2 linked regions of the Lytechinus pictus genome follow. The protein of the gene in region 2 purifies or fractionates together with the protein of the main gene of each other region. This does not show direct contact. Links are inferred from orthologs where the notes say so. Each region holds a gene or a part of one and is shown on either strand. Other genes may lie near its edges.

Evidence for each region. Proteins that work in one complex are often made in the same cells at the same time.
Region 1: the proteins of receptor tyrosine-protein kinase erbB-4-like (region 2) and growth factor receptor-bound protein 2-like purify together in Drosophila melanogaster (affinity purification with western blotting; 4 studies listed by BioGRID, with this or other methods). This does not show direct contact. The link is inferred for Lytechinus pictus from reciprocal best matches to the Drosophila melanogaster genes Egfr and drk.

What each region holds. Positions count from the first base shown.
Region 1 is NC_087254.1:17,166,855-17,174,506, reverse strand, and holds the start of growth factor receptor-bound protein 2-like, read right to left. Parts: upstream 3,026-7,652; 5' UTR 2,545-3,025; coding exon 2,461-2,544; intron 1-2,460.
Region 2 is NC_087245.1:2,233,294-2,240,424, reverse strand, and holds the start of receptor tyrosine-protein kinase erbB-4-like, read right to left. Parts: upstream 3,015-7,131; coding exon 2,942-3,014; intron 2,619-2,941; coding exon 2,256-2,618; intron 1,073-2,255; coding exon 935-1,072; intron 621-934; coding exon 555-620; intron 134-554; coding exon 15-133; intron 1-14. UniProt on the Drosophila melanogaster protein: Receptor tyrosine kinase, binding ligands of the EGF family and activating several signaling cascades to convert extracellular cues into appropriate cellular responses. Known ligands include spitz, gurken, vein and giant-lens.

The DNA.
Region 1 (7,652 bases), on a different chromosome or scaffold from region 2:
ATGATTCAATATAGCAGCAGTGCTGACTTCGAAAACTACTATTATTCACAAAAAACACCATTCATATGATACAATACTACATTCATTTACAATAAATGACATTTGACCTTGATCGTGCGACCTACGACTTGTCAGTGATACTTGATATCCATATTTATAAACTACATGTATATCTATAAACTGAAAGTTATAACAGGAATCTAATAATTACCTCCAAAATGGCCAAAGTTCAATGACCTTTGAATTTGGTCATGTGACCTGAAACTCAAAGGAGATGCTCAGTGATACTTGATTACTCTTATGTTTTATGAACTAGATCCATACACTTACAGAGTTTATGATGGTAATTCAACAAATACCCCCAACATGGCCGAAGTTCATTGACCTTCGACCTTGGTCATGTGACCTGAAATTCGCACAGGATGTTTAGTGATACTTGATTACTCTTATGTCCAGGTTTTAAGAACTAGACCAATAAACTTTCAAAGTTATGATGGTAATTCAACAAATACCCCCAACTTGGCCAAAGTTCATTGACCTTAAAGGTAAATTCCAGTTTTGGGAATGATCTCAAAATGACTTTTTACAGAATTTAATACAATGATCACCAAAGTGTCTGTTTGTATGAATAAAAAATATGTGCCAAAGGATTCTTGAAGAAATTGTGTAATTGCTGAGAAATAAGCAAAATAAGTGCGGATTCGGTCACTTCCGTCGGGTCTTTATTCCAGCAATAATAATACACTGTCCCACGTGTGCCTATCTGTGTTGGCGATCTTCAGTGTGATAGTTTTTTAGCTAGATATTATGATTTCACAAAATTCAGTTTATGTAACTGTACCAGATCTAGATCCACGATGATATATCAATACTTTACCTTGGTTTTACAGACTTTCTCACAAAATCAGTGTTTGACTGCAACTACGTTCATTTAGCTTTAAATGACATTTGACCTTAATCATGTGACCTGAAACTCGCACAGGATGCTCAGTGATATTTGATTACTCTAATGTCCAAGTTTCATGAATCAGAAATCAGATCCATAAACATTCAAAGTTATGATGGTAATTCAACAGATACCCCAACTTGGCCAAAGTTCATTGACCCTAAATGACCTTTGCCCTTGGTCATGTGACTTGAAACTCAGGCAGGATGTTCAGTAATACTTGATTAACTTTATGTCCAAGTTTCATGAACTAGGTCCATATATTTTCTAACTTATGCTGTCCTTTCAAAAATTTAATCTTCGGTTAAGATTTGGTGTTGACGTCACCGCCGCCCTCAGAAAAGCGTTGCCTGTAGTCTCACTATGCTATGCAGGTGATACAAAAATGAAATAATGTATAATTCAAGAAATAAATACCAAAAGAAATAGTGAGGGACATCATCGATTGTCTAATTTGCATGACACCGAGTTGTAGGCCTACTGTTTTGTGAAAAATACATGTAAACAAAATTATAAAATGTCATAACTTTGTCATTTTACATCCGATTTGATGGAAATTTCAGCATTATGCTAGTTTGATTTTTCTCTTTTTATCAAAATTGACATTTTTCTGGAGTGGACTTGACCTTTATCTAAAGACTGCAGATTTTTACATCACTGTAAATAAATTAGTTACAGACTTTTCTCTTAGTATTTTTGGTCATAAGAGAAAAGACACCAACTATGTTCTGTACTGTATCTGCTAAACACCTTTTGTGTAGAAAAAAAAATGTGGAGAAAATTGCTATGAAATAACAGGAAAATTACTCCTGGTAGCAGCTAAAAGGACACAAGACCCATCTTTCCTCTTCTTGAAACATATTTTGAAACACATCCCGTATCACACCTAGAAATACATGTAGTGGCATAGAAAGTGTTGTTAAATATTAAAGACATTGACAACCAGCCCAGGCCAAGGAGTAATCGAAGAGGATGCGGAAGCGAACCCTTTTTTCCATAGATACTGTAGTTAGCATCGGTCGAACATACATTATGAGCCCTATGGCCGACATCCGTCTGTGTAGCCCTAGTACTTAGTAGTAGGAAAAAAATCTGAAATGTTTTTAAAAAATCCTCAGAAACAGCGGATATATCACTCAGTCTAACTTGTCTACATCTATCCACTGGACTTCCTTTCACACTGTATAATGCACTTCTTCAATGCCAAATAGATTGAAACAGCCTTAGAAACAGGTCAATTCCGATCCAGGGCCCCGTAACACAAATCTTAGCGATTAATTGCTAATATGAAAGAACAATTCTGAATGGTTCCTTGTCAGCCAACTGAACAAAATTCACGTGCAACACTGATCGTGATAGGCCATTTCATTTAGCGATTAATTGCTAACCATTGTATTACAAGGCCAATCAATTTCTGGTGGGGAAATTTGCTCGAAGTCAGCCGGTGTGAAACCACATTACTTTAGGATTACCGCTGCCCTGAATCCTGATCTAACTTGCAATGTTAGGTCTACCTTCAATACTTCGCCTTTCTTGAAGCCAAGTTCATCCTGATCATCCTTTGATGGCGTAAAGTCAAATTGTGCCACGTACTCCATACTTTCCAATAAATCCTGCTCAATGAATGTTCATGTTATACCGTACAGACTGATCCTATTTATTGCAGGTTAATCTGCCAACAACAAAAAAACTCTCACAACAGTCTGACACTGACAGCAGCCTGTCTTGTCTGCCAATGGCAATGCTGCACACGCACTAAATCTACACACTCTTCTCTATGCGCTGAGTGAGACTCCACACAACACAAGAACCACAAGAATAAGTTCATGAGTTTGTACACACGCCTAGGCAGTGTGCGATTCCTACTCTCAACGTCTTCAAAACGAACGTCAACGTAACATTAGTCCTTCGATTGCTGTTTTCCAAAATGTGAAGAATCTATACAGGTCCCACTTGAAGAAACTTTATCATGCCTTATTGTTTCTGAGTCGTTTTTTTGTAACTTTGTTGCGAAACTTCTCGGTGTTTCCCGATCCCGTACCGTGTTGATCACCTACGTAATTTGCGGAAGTTAAAATCGTGTGCATGTTGCGCGCGTGGCGGCCCGATCAGCGCGCACTACCTCGTACCTGTACCCGTGAACTCAAAATTTATAAAAGCGAAAATTACCGAGAACTTTCCGTCCTCAAAAAGGACCCAGAAAGTACGTAGCATAATAAGAAACCGAAACAAAACATACCAGGAAAAAACACGAACAAAGAAAATAGAAGAAACAAACAAATAGCGTAGGAGGAGGAGGAAGAAGAAGAAGAAGAGTGATGTCACTTTTCAGGTATATATATATATATATATTATAAGTCTTCTTTATATATATAAATATATATATATATATATATATATATATATTATATATATATTATATATATATATATATATATATATATATATACATATATACATATATACATATATATATATGTATATATATATATATATCATATATTTGTATATATGTAAATATATGATATATATATAATTATATATACAGTGCGTATAAAAAAAACGGGACAGTTTTGAAAAGTCTATAAAAAAATTTGTTTCAAATTATGATATCTATATTTTGATGTTAATAGATGCTCTGAAATCCAATCTTTGAAATATGCCCCCCCCCCAAAAAAAAAAAAATGTCATGCTTTAGCGAACACGGGACGTTTTAGTCGGGGGTTCAAAGAGAGGCTTGCGCCAAAATGGCAGAAATGAGAAATTTGCATGATAGACTTCTTGCTAATTATCAGACTTCCTCTTAACCTTTTCATTATCTTTGCCATGATTTTCGAATATGCTGTCAAATTTCATTTACAAATTTACTTATTTACTTGAATTATTTTGGTTTTTTTTCATTGAAACTTCTTTAACATTTGAATTTCCTTCATAAGTAAGAAAAGAAGACTTTTTGTCAATCCAAGCATGAAGATTGCATTATAATTGGGAGAACTTGTAATTATTCAAATCGTATTTTATTATGAGAAACAAATTATGTTATGGTACCTTTAAATAACATGAATCCTATTTTCAAGGGATTTTTTAGACCAAGTTTAATTATGCGCTTGACAGGCCGACAAACGGGAAAGGATTCACGCCGACAAACAGGAAAGGATTCACGTCTTTCAATGGCAATGGTGTATTTAGTCAATTTTGAAGGAGCTATAGATATCTATAATGGCAGGGGTCCGTTGCAGAAAGAGTTGCGTTTAAACGCAAGTCAAAAAATCAATCGCAAGTCCCAAATGTGCGCTGATGATTGGTTGAAAATCAAGTTACGCATGATTTTTCGAGTTGCAATTGATTGCAACTCTTTCTGCAACGGGCCCCTGATCGGATGAAATGTATTTAAAAAAGTAGTGAGCGAGCAGGCAAAAATTTCCACTTTTTAAATAAAATATCAAATTTTGTGATATATTTTGACATAATATTCAGGAAAGAAATCATATTTCACTTTCTATCTTTCCTTTTATTTCCTTTCCACTTTTTTTTATTGGGGGGGGGGGGGGACGCCCCGAGCCCCCGCCCATCTGTATGCCACTGTTCAAAATCACCATAACCTTTGTAGCACACAATGAAAGGATTTGAAAAAATACACACTCTCCCATACTTCGGTTGATTTTTTTTTTTTTGCTTAAAGAAGGAAAATTTAAAGCTAGAAGAGAACATATTAAAAAGAAACAACAGACAAATTCAAGCAAATAAACAGATTTGAAAATGAATTTTGACGGCATAATTCGAAAATTATGGCAAAGATAATCTGCTGATTAGCGAGAAGTCCGATCATCATTATCATTTTATGCCATTTTGGCGCAAGCCTCCTTTTTTAGCCCCAGACAAAAACATTCCGTGTTTGCTAAAGCATGAACAAAACTAAATTTTTTTTAATGGCATTTGAAAGATAAGACTTCAGGGGCGGTATTCTGAGGTCATTTTATCTTTAAAATATTTTATTTTATCTCTTAAAACGAAATTGGTATTCTGAGATGACATTTTATCTCTCAGATAAAATTTACAATTTTATCTTGCATAAAAAATTTATCTTGCGTAACTATAGATGATACGCATCAGAACAGTGCCTGCGTAGACGATACCGATCGCGTATCTGGGTATTGCAACGCGGATGATGTGCTTGCGCCCAAGTTACTTTGAAGAAAAAAATAAAATAAACTTAAAAGAGGGTAGGGGCTATTTTATCTCCGCGACGTTGATTTCACCAATATTTCTAAAATGTTGACATAAAAATGAAGAAAAATTATATATTTATTGAGAATAACACCTTAACGTTATTCCTGTACAATCAGAAGTATTTCATAAGACTTGTCTTGACTAATATTGTCTTTGATATGTTGCTTGAAAAGATGTGATATAGACTTCGAAAAAAAATGAGAGTATTGTCCTTTTTGTTAAAAAGAAATATCTGTAAAGACGAGCAAGCGTATAGTGCAAGCGTATTTGAAGTCGATAAATTAACGCAATCTCACCCCTTTGCCACACCTCCTGGCGGAATGGATTTCAATTGGTTTAAGAGTGACACGAGAGAGCTAAAGCGCGTTTCTAGTTGGATATTGATTAAAAAGTAGGTGTGTCTTACATAGATAAAATGAAGATAAAATTGCTCTCAGAATACCAATTCGGAGAGATTTTAAGGGTATTTTATCTCACTGATTTTAACGGAGATAAAATATTTTATTTTATCTGAGATAAAATGGATCTCAGAATACCACCCCAGAGCACCTATTAACACCAAAATATAGACATCATAACAAAAATTTTATAGACCTTTCAAATCTGTCCCGTTTTTTTAATACGCACTGTAGGCCCTATATATATATATATATATATATAGTATATGTCTCATGATGAGAAAGAGACACGTACATATCTCAACAACAAATTAATGCGAGCGCGAATGCGGGCTGAATTTTTTTAGTATACTGACCTAAAAACAGGAAAAGGTACCTGTTTAGGACTGTTTGTAGTATAACTCGGGGAGGATACATATCTCACTACACAGATCAATGCGAGTGCCGAGAGAGAGATAGAATTTTGTTATATTCGGAGCTGAAAGCTCGATATTCTAAATATAGATTAAGATGGGTATCTAAAAGAACAATAGATAAGAGCGCGAAGTGCGCAAGCTGAAAATTTTGATATTTCGATCTGAAAAAATTGACAGTTCAATGGACGTTTTTAATAAAGAACAATTAATATATCCAACAAAAGATCTTTTGGGGTTTAATATAGAAGTGAAAACGGCACATTATTCACCTATTTAATCATGCGAGAGCGAAGCGCGAGCTGAATATTTTTATATTCCAATCTGAAAAGCGGACATTCAATTTGAGCACGATTTTATATAAAGAACGAGTTTTTGTATTTCAAACTCACTTGCCGATTTCTATGTAACATTACAATGTGATTTTATTTTTGCACATCTGGAATTATGGGGGGGGGGGCAAAACAATATGTTTGCCCCCCCCTGGTGGGGCGATCACCCCGCTGCCCCCCCCCCCCCCCACTCCCGGATTGACGCCTCTTGATGTAGACATGATGAGATGATTATCTGGATGGCACTTTAAACTTCCATAATTAAGAACTCGTGAATTTTCATGAAAAGGATTATCTCAATCTATAACAGGCCTATTTGCATGACCGTGAAATGGTGCTATTAAGCACCATTTCAGCCTATGATCGCCTATATGTATCTCATCAGTAAATGACTGGCAATGCGAGCACGAAGCGCTTTTTTTCATACTGACATTAATTTTTTTTCCAAGTCTTCGATCCCGCGGCCCGGCCGCCCTCACCTATATTATGTACTCGTCTTCCTCCTCTTATATTTTTCTTCTTCCTTCAATTCTCCTCTCCTTAATGACCCTTCAATATCTGTTTCTCCCCCCCCCTCTTTTATTTTTTTGTTGCGCCGTTAATAGGCCCCCCGGGGGGCGGCCCATGGGGCGGCCCAACTGTTAGTTGAGCTCTAGATCAGTGGGGGGGGGGGGGGGGGGGGCGGTGGCGGCGGCCCCTCGCCCTCCTGGATCCGCCTAGCGCACTCCGGACTCAAGCTGGATTGCGCGCGCTACGATCTAGCGCGAGCTGAACAATATTACGTCATTCAAAATGTCTGCGCCCTTGTCATAATATAATCTGAATGCAGAATTTTTGGAGGATGTTGTATTGAGGTGATTTAAAGAAAGTATCTGCAGTATAGTTAGTAGCCTTCTCTCTAAAGCACCCTGTTGGGGACAACATGGGGAGTAGTGCTAGTAGCAGCGCCAGTGGCAGCGAAAGTGAAGAAGAAAACAGCGATTATGAGACGGTAAGTTTGATTCTCCGTCAACTTCTCGAACTCGGCATCCCTCGGCCCTGGCTGCGCAGCTGCGCCAGCGCCAGCCGCCGCCGCTACGCCAGCTGCTCGCCTCGTTTAATTCATGCGCATGAGGCAATGTAGTCGAGTTGAGGACGTACCAATGATGATGACTTTTAGAATAATGAAATATATGATGGAGGGACCTAAACTTAAGCTACGCACTTTGTTTTCAAACAATAAAAACTATCCCAATTTTAATATTTCAACAAATATCTTTCACTAATTTGTGGCAAACATAATTTCTAGATCATTAACCAAGTCCAAGTCCAAGAAGAAAATATCGCAAAACTC
Region 2 (7,131 bases):
GGGTTCAAACTCACCAGACATCCAGCATTAGAAGAATTGGTGCAACCCCCAGCGCAACTTCTGTGGCAGCAGTCCGCCTGAGTAGGACCTCGACAACGGTAGTCGCATGTTGAGCTGCAATCTTTTAGCGTTACTATAGAGAGGAAAAGGGAAAGACTTAATATTTATGTGTACCAAGACATGAAAAGTAAAATCCATGGACAAATTTAGACATTTACTCACAAAAAGAAATTTCCAGTATTATAGGTTAGATGACAGAATGCCTTTCATTCAGCATTTGTGACAAGACGAGAATTTACCTTCCTGCAAAAAAATGTCATGCTTTATCTTTTCAAACATACAAACCATAGATCAAAGTTATTGACTGATAATAAAGTTTTGAGTGATTTGGAGAAAATAATAATGCAAAATCAATTGAAACAGCTTCCCTTTATTCTTCTAGAAATATTTCAAATATTATCTATTTCAATGGACCAAAATGTATAGAGCTTAATATCTTCATATTATGAATAAATAACTGAGGAGAATGATGATGTATTACATTGTCTACTCACATATCTGACAATGGTCCTCTCCTGGACCCCAGCATCGACCCTTGCATGATTCATGACATTGGTGTTCTGTGTAAAAGAAGATGAACAAAGATAAACATTAATAATTATAAATTACTTTAACAAGAGGAAGTGGCACTGACCTTGCACATATCAAATTGTGTATAAAAGAAGTACTTGCATTCCATAAATAAAAATTATGGATATGTATACCATATAGAATACAATGACTGCATTAGTAATCTTTAAAATACTCAGAGACAACGTCCCTATGTATCATTATTTAAAAATTTTCTCAACTAACAGATTTAAAGAGCAAAATAAGTTTATCTTTCTAAGTAGCTAATGCCTTTCTTGCTGTAAGCACATGAAATAGTCCTCACCTAAGCAGTTACGTTGTGGATGTTCATCCCATACTGAGAAGTTGGCTACCAAACCAGGTTGCATGTCATCCCAGGCAATGGTCTGTACATAGCACAGTTGATTATTCTGATGAAAGTATACATCTCCTTTCAAGATTTCTGCAAGAAAAAACACAATTTTAGCAATACTAGTTTAAAAATTGAATGAAACCATGATTAATATGATTGAATTCCTTTTTTAATCTTAAAATCAGTATGTTTAATCAGGGGAGGATCCAGGATTTTCCAAAGGGGGGGGGGGAATTTTTCGGAGGAAAATTTTGACAAGCCCCCCCCCCCCCAAAAAAAAAAAGGTTTTCAACAACAAATTAAGGATATTTCGTACCCGAAAAAATTTGACAAGCCAAAAAAAAAGGTGTTCAATTTCAAAAGAGGGGCCACACCTCTGTTTTCATGGCATTTTTACATTACAAATTTTTAATTTTGCTTCTCAAAAGGAAGGGGGCACGTGCCCCCTGGATCCGCGCCTGGTTTAATCATCATTCATCGATACGAGCGTTTGATTGGGATTTATGGAAGAAGTATGTGACAGTTCAGATCATGTCAAAAACATCAGCGTAGCAAAAATCATTGATCTGATATCACAGCTGAGAATTTAAGTGTACCATAGATATTACCTCGCCTTTGTTTTTAAGGATGCCCCATGCTGAAATGCTGAATCTGATCCAATTTTATTCTCCCTAAATGTACACATAGGCATCATTTGAATATTCCCAATATTTTAGTGTGCTTAAAGAACCAAGGAGGATGTTTAAACCCCATTATGCTTTTTTGTGTTAAACACCTTTTATGAAATACTGGTCACTACCTGTTTGAATGAACTACCCCATTGTCAAAAACCTATTTGGTGTTTCTCCTGTGGTCTTCTAGCTCATAAAACCATAGAGACAAAGAGGTTTTAGACCAATGGAAATATTTCAAATATATACCAAAATGGTGCATGGGCCAAGGAGCAGCTAGATATCAAGACTTCTTATTGATAGCATAGAATTAGACAGAGTGAGATTAGACCAATAACCAATTCAACACTCATTGTCTATTTCTTTTACCCAAGGCTATTTCAGAATCTCTGGAAATTGTTTCATTCAACTTGGCTGATTTTTCATATTATTCACTTCTGCTATTCAGGAGCCGATGTGGATCCAGGAAACATTCCCATCATTAATAGAATATTTATCTTTTAAGTTTTTAACTTTAAATAAAAACCAAAACCCCAAAAATAATACATGAACAAAGTATGACAACAAATAATAACTAGGTACATAGCTATCAATAGACTTACCATGTAATGATGTTAACCAAATCTCTTCTGTAGCTATTTCTGGATCTCCTGTATGAAACGTCAATGCAACATAGAGGGCGTACTTGTCGTCGTAAAGCTTTGTTCCTCTGATAACCCGTAAGTTTGTGAGCGGTATCACCCGGGAATACGTCAAGAGAATGAGAATATATCCTGTGACTTCCCGTATCGATGAGAGAAAGCTAAGATCATATTCTTGCTCATGGAGAAAGGATATTTCCAGGTTTCCGTCAACGTATGTACAGTTTGTATATCTTTCCTTTAAATCTTCATAGTACTGTTGCCTTGCTCCGGCAGTATCGCTGTTGTATGGTTTAGCGGTACCTTGATCTGTGCCAGTACATACTGTAAGAAGATAAAAACAAAAGAAACAAATTAAATACTGGTATGACAAATTTCAATTCTATAGCATGGATTAAGGGGAAGGTCACAACTAAATGTAGGCACTGTGAATGAGAATAGAGCATACAGAAATTATTTTTTATTGTATTCGGAAAATAATACAACTTAAACCCCTAAAACAGCATATCTTTAGCATTGATCATTATAACCACACTTGCCTGAGCTATATTGATCATAATGCACACTATTTCCCTCTGCACCCCCCTCCCTCCCTCCTCCTCTCCACCCCACCCCCCCCCCCCACCTCCCTCCTCCCCTCCACTCACCCAGGCACAAACTGCTGTGTGAGTCTCTGCTGAGCTTGTTCCATTGAGCTTGTTCTACTACATTCCAATCCATACCAATTGGGAATACTGGTATCAAAATATCACATCATTCTATCTTTGATGTGTTTCATATTTTGATTGAAACCTGTGTTTAGATACTCAGAAAACACACCAGAGACAAGTACCTGCCAGAAACCAGTTTTCACAGGTAAAACATAAACCTAATCACAGGTAAAGTAATACTAGTAAACTCTGTCTTCCAGGTATTAGAATTACAAAATTTATGTTTCCTATTCATTACACTATAATTGATTCATATTTCTATTAAATCGTATAATCTAAAGTGAAAGGGCACATGCTGCAAACAAAGTGAAGTAATTTTCCATAATTTGACATTATCTGAGTTAAAATCTATAAATGTTTCAGCTATTATAAAAAAAATTGCCTGTTTTTTATGAAGAAACTATTTGGTCAGAAATTGTTCCTGCCTTTCATATATCTTTGTATGCTAAAAATTAAAGTGTGAATACTAGTAATCATAACCTTGTGAAAATGCCAATGTGGTTACAAAAAAAAACCTGTAATTACAAAACATAAAAGCCAGTACCAATTGATACTGATTTTGCATCCATATAATTATAGCCTTCAAAATATAATACTCATATCATTTTCAGTGAGATTAGCTTAGGATCTGTGAAAAGTGGGTCATTTATTTGGTATTACGTCAAAGTGGCAATCCCTTGATACCTGACTTTGATATTGGGGTTGCTTTACACTATGATTGCCTGATATGGGTCAAAACCAGCTATGTCAAAGAGGGCATGTCCAGGTGTACTTTGATTTGGGATGAACATTTAAAAATCAAACCATCATTTAAACAAATGAAAAATTGATGCATTTTGGTGGTGGGTGAAAGGGAGGGGGGGGGGTCAGTCACGATTTTGGTGTATATTTCTGTAAATCTGTATTACTACAAACATCATTCATGTTGAGACAAAAGTGTTTGCAAACCTATCAAACTTTTGATATAAAGGAACAAACTGTGAAAATAAGATGGATACATTTTAAATGGTGTCATATTTTTTTAACGCAAACATGAAAAGAAACAGTTAAGTGTGTCACTCACTGCATGACAGCTCATATTGAAAGATAGTGGATGGTTGGAGTAAAATGGGAGAGGGGGACATGCCCCTTTACCCCTACAGCTATCGAGCCTAACCTCTGAACTTGTACGATCTGGCATTTCTTACAGGTGTTTTACCTCAAAAGATTTACAACACTAAATTGGGCTAGAAAAGAGAAAATATGATTTCATCTCTTCTGTTGTAATGTTAACCTGGGGATGCCACCATCAATTGATCTTGAAATTGGTAAAACAAAGTCTAAACAAGGGGTTGAATGTCTAAAAACAGAATTATATTCACAAATCCATCACCCAAGAAGGCTCTCAATAATATCTGACTGCATTCTTCCATACAAAGGTGTTCTAGGTTCCTACATATCCATAATAGTTTTACAAAGTCACTACAAAATCTTTGCTTATTAAACTGCGATTGAAGCACCTCTTTTCAAATTTAATTGGGTAACTTGAATTTAATTTCCACATTATCTTTATTTTCCTTACTTCCATGTGTCCATTATTTTTAATTGATGTAAGCTTTATACTTTACTTATTTTACTTCATCACTGTGTGAATATGTTTTAACATATGAGATGTAGGCTGAAACCAATATGGACCTACATGGTTTTACATTATAGAGATGCAATGTAAAAACATTGCAATTCGTAAGTTTTCCTGCCAGAATACGACTTGTCAAGGACCCATATTGTTGGGGGGAAGAGAGGGGTACAATTCATATAGGGCTTACATTACAGGCATCAGGTATCGGTCTAGTTTGTTGAAACAGAATGTGCAATAGCCACTACAAGAAGTAACATGAATCACATCAAATTAACAGAAGACACTGCAAAAACACTTGCAAATAAAACCCAAATAGGATGGGACAACTCCCAGTATCAAGTTCTAATTATCAACATATCATCAACAACCCCAAGGTCAAAGGTCATAGCAGGTCAGACAAGAATGTAACAAAACCTCACTAAATACTTGGCCCTCTTGTAACATAGCTGTAGTACCATGGCAACCTAAAGTTGAGTCATCCATTAAAAACTTCTTGGGTCATACACAGAAGAGTAAAGTATCTGACATTCAAGTTGTTACTTGATATCTAGGGTCTTGAAAGACAAGGGGTCAAGAAGGTATGTTGAAATTCTCTGTTTGGGAACATTGAGACATCAAGGAGACATTGAGGAGGCATGAATTTTTACAAATACTGGGTAAAATATCACTGTAGAGTTTCTGTTTTGTATACTTTCATCTACTTATGGTGCTGTTTTAGCTGTTTTGTGTACATGTAACAATTTAATGCATCTCTCATTCTCACTATAACCTTCTCACTCATCTTTTAATATATGTACATTCAGAAGACCTCTCGAATTTTATATATATGACCAGAAGAAGATGCTTTGAAAGTTCTTCTAAGTCAGTATGCAATAAACCTTAGTGATATTTCTATTTAAATAACAAGCAATGAAAAATCTACTGACCACATATGACTAAATAACTTCAGAATGAGCCAAAATTGAAATATATCGCGCAAAATACTTCCATTACTGAATAGAATTTTGGCCTGTCATGCCTTTTCAGAACCTTGCAGTCTTCCCATCAAACGAATATCAGGAAGGATAATTTATGAATTTTCTGATGTCTCTGCTTATCAACAAGTAATCAAATGATTTCTGAGATAGAGACTGGTAGTTATTCAACATCTCAGGAATGGAGCAATAGAAGATGAACAAATTTCCCAGAAGAATAAATGGCCTTAGATTTGACAAATGATCTCACTAATGATCACTTTCTTAATGAACCCCGCTTATCATATATGACGAGATCAGATGTCAATCACTCCCCCCCCCCCCCCCATGAAGGAAAGTTGGTCAATGACCCCACACGACCTCATGCTGACCTAAATTCCACAGAGGTCGATGTTGTGTTGTATCAAAAAGTCATCATAGTACTTCTACGTTATGTGTATTGAAGGTTTTTGTCAGCATACAGGCCTACACCACAACAGCTTTGCTGATGAAGTTTTTTTCCTCGTTTTCCTAGCTCAAATTTACTTTTACAATTTGAAACGCACTTGGGTACAAGACCTTCGTTTCAAATGTGACATTTTAATAAAAAGACAAAGTATTATTTACAAAGAAAAGGGCATCTATTCCACATCCCAAGGACTCAATATCATTACTCACACTTTAAAAATTGAGAGTCAAATATTTCTAGGAATGAAATGGGGGCAAGAAAATAAATTTCACTGCTTACCGGGATTTAATGCGCTGGTAATAATGAAAGCCGTGTACTTTCTACGAATGTGTCACTGTTTGATTACAACACACGATACCCTAAATGAATACAGTGGGCCAACCACAAGAAAAGATGAATTATTTTCAAATCAAACCATCACTGGTGCATAAGTGAAAGCTAAAGCCATAGCTGAAGGCAAGATGAAGGGGGTATGACAAGGGGGGTGAGAATGGCTTGGGGCTGGTGGTACCTTAGATGGGTGTATTATTTACACATCTTGGGTGTTCGGTATCACTTTATTTTTGGAGGTATACAGCCACGAGCTGCTATAGAGTATCTATCGCAATTCCATCAAGGATTTCTACTCAGAGTATACTGTTCAGTGTGTTTCCTTCTAAGCTTCTCCTAGTAGAATATAACATCTCATAGAACTATAGAATTCTGGTGATTGTCATTGTCAACACTTATTGCTATGTCTATATAAGGGTCTTCAAAGCGTAAGTTTAAAAGATTTTAGGCTCTTTGGCAGAGCTGACACTCGTACACCAAAGTTCATTTGATTTTTTTAAAACTTAGTCATACGACATGACAGTGAACACACTGAATGATGTTGCCAAATCTCGAATGGACCCTTCCAATGCTCTACATGTACATACAAATTTTCCTACCTTACCAAAAAGAAGAGGATGATTCTATTATTCTCAATCTCTAAATACTTCCCAAAAACATCATTAGTATTTTATCAAAGACAACATGATTTAACAAACATTTATTGTATTTGTGTCACTGTAAAGCATAATTTTCTACCAGCGTACTAAGTCTACGG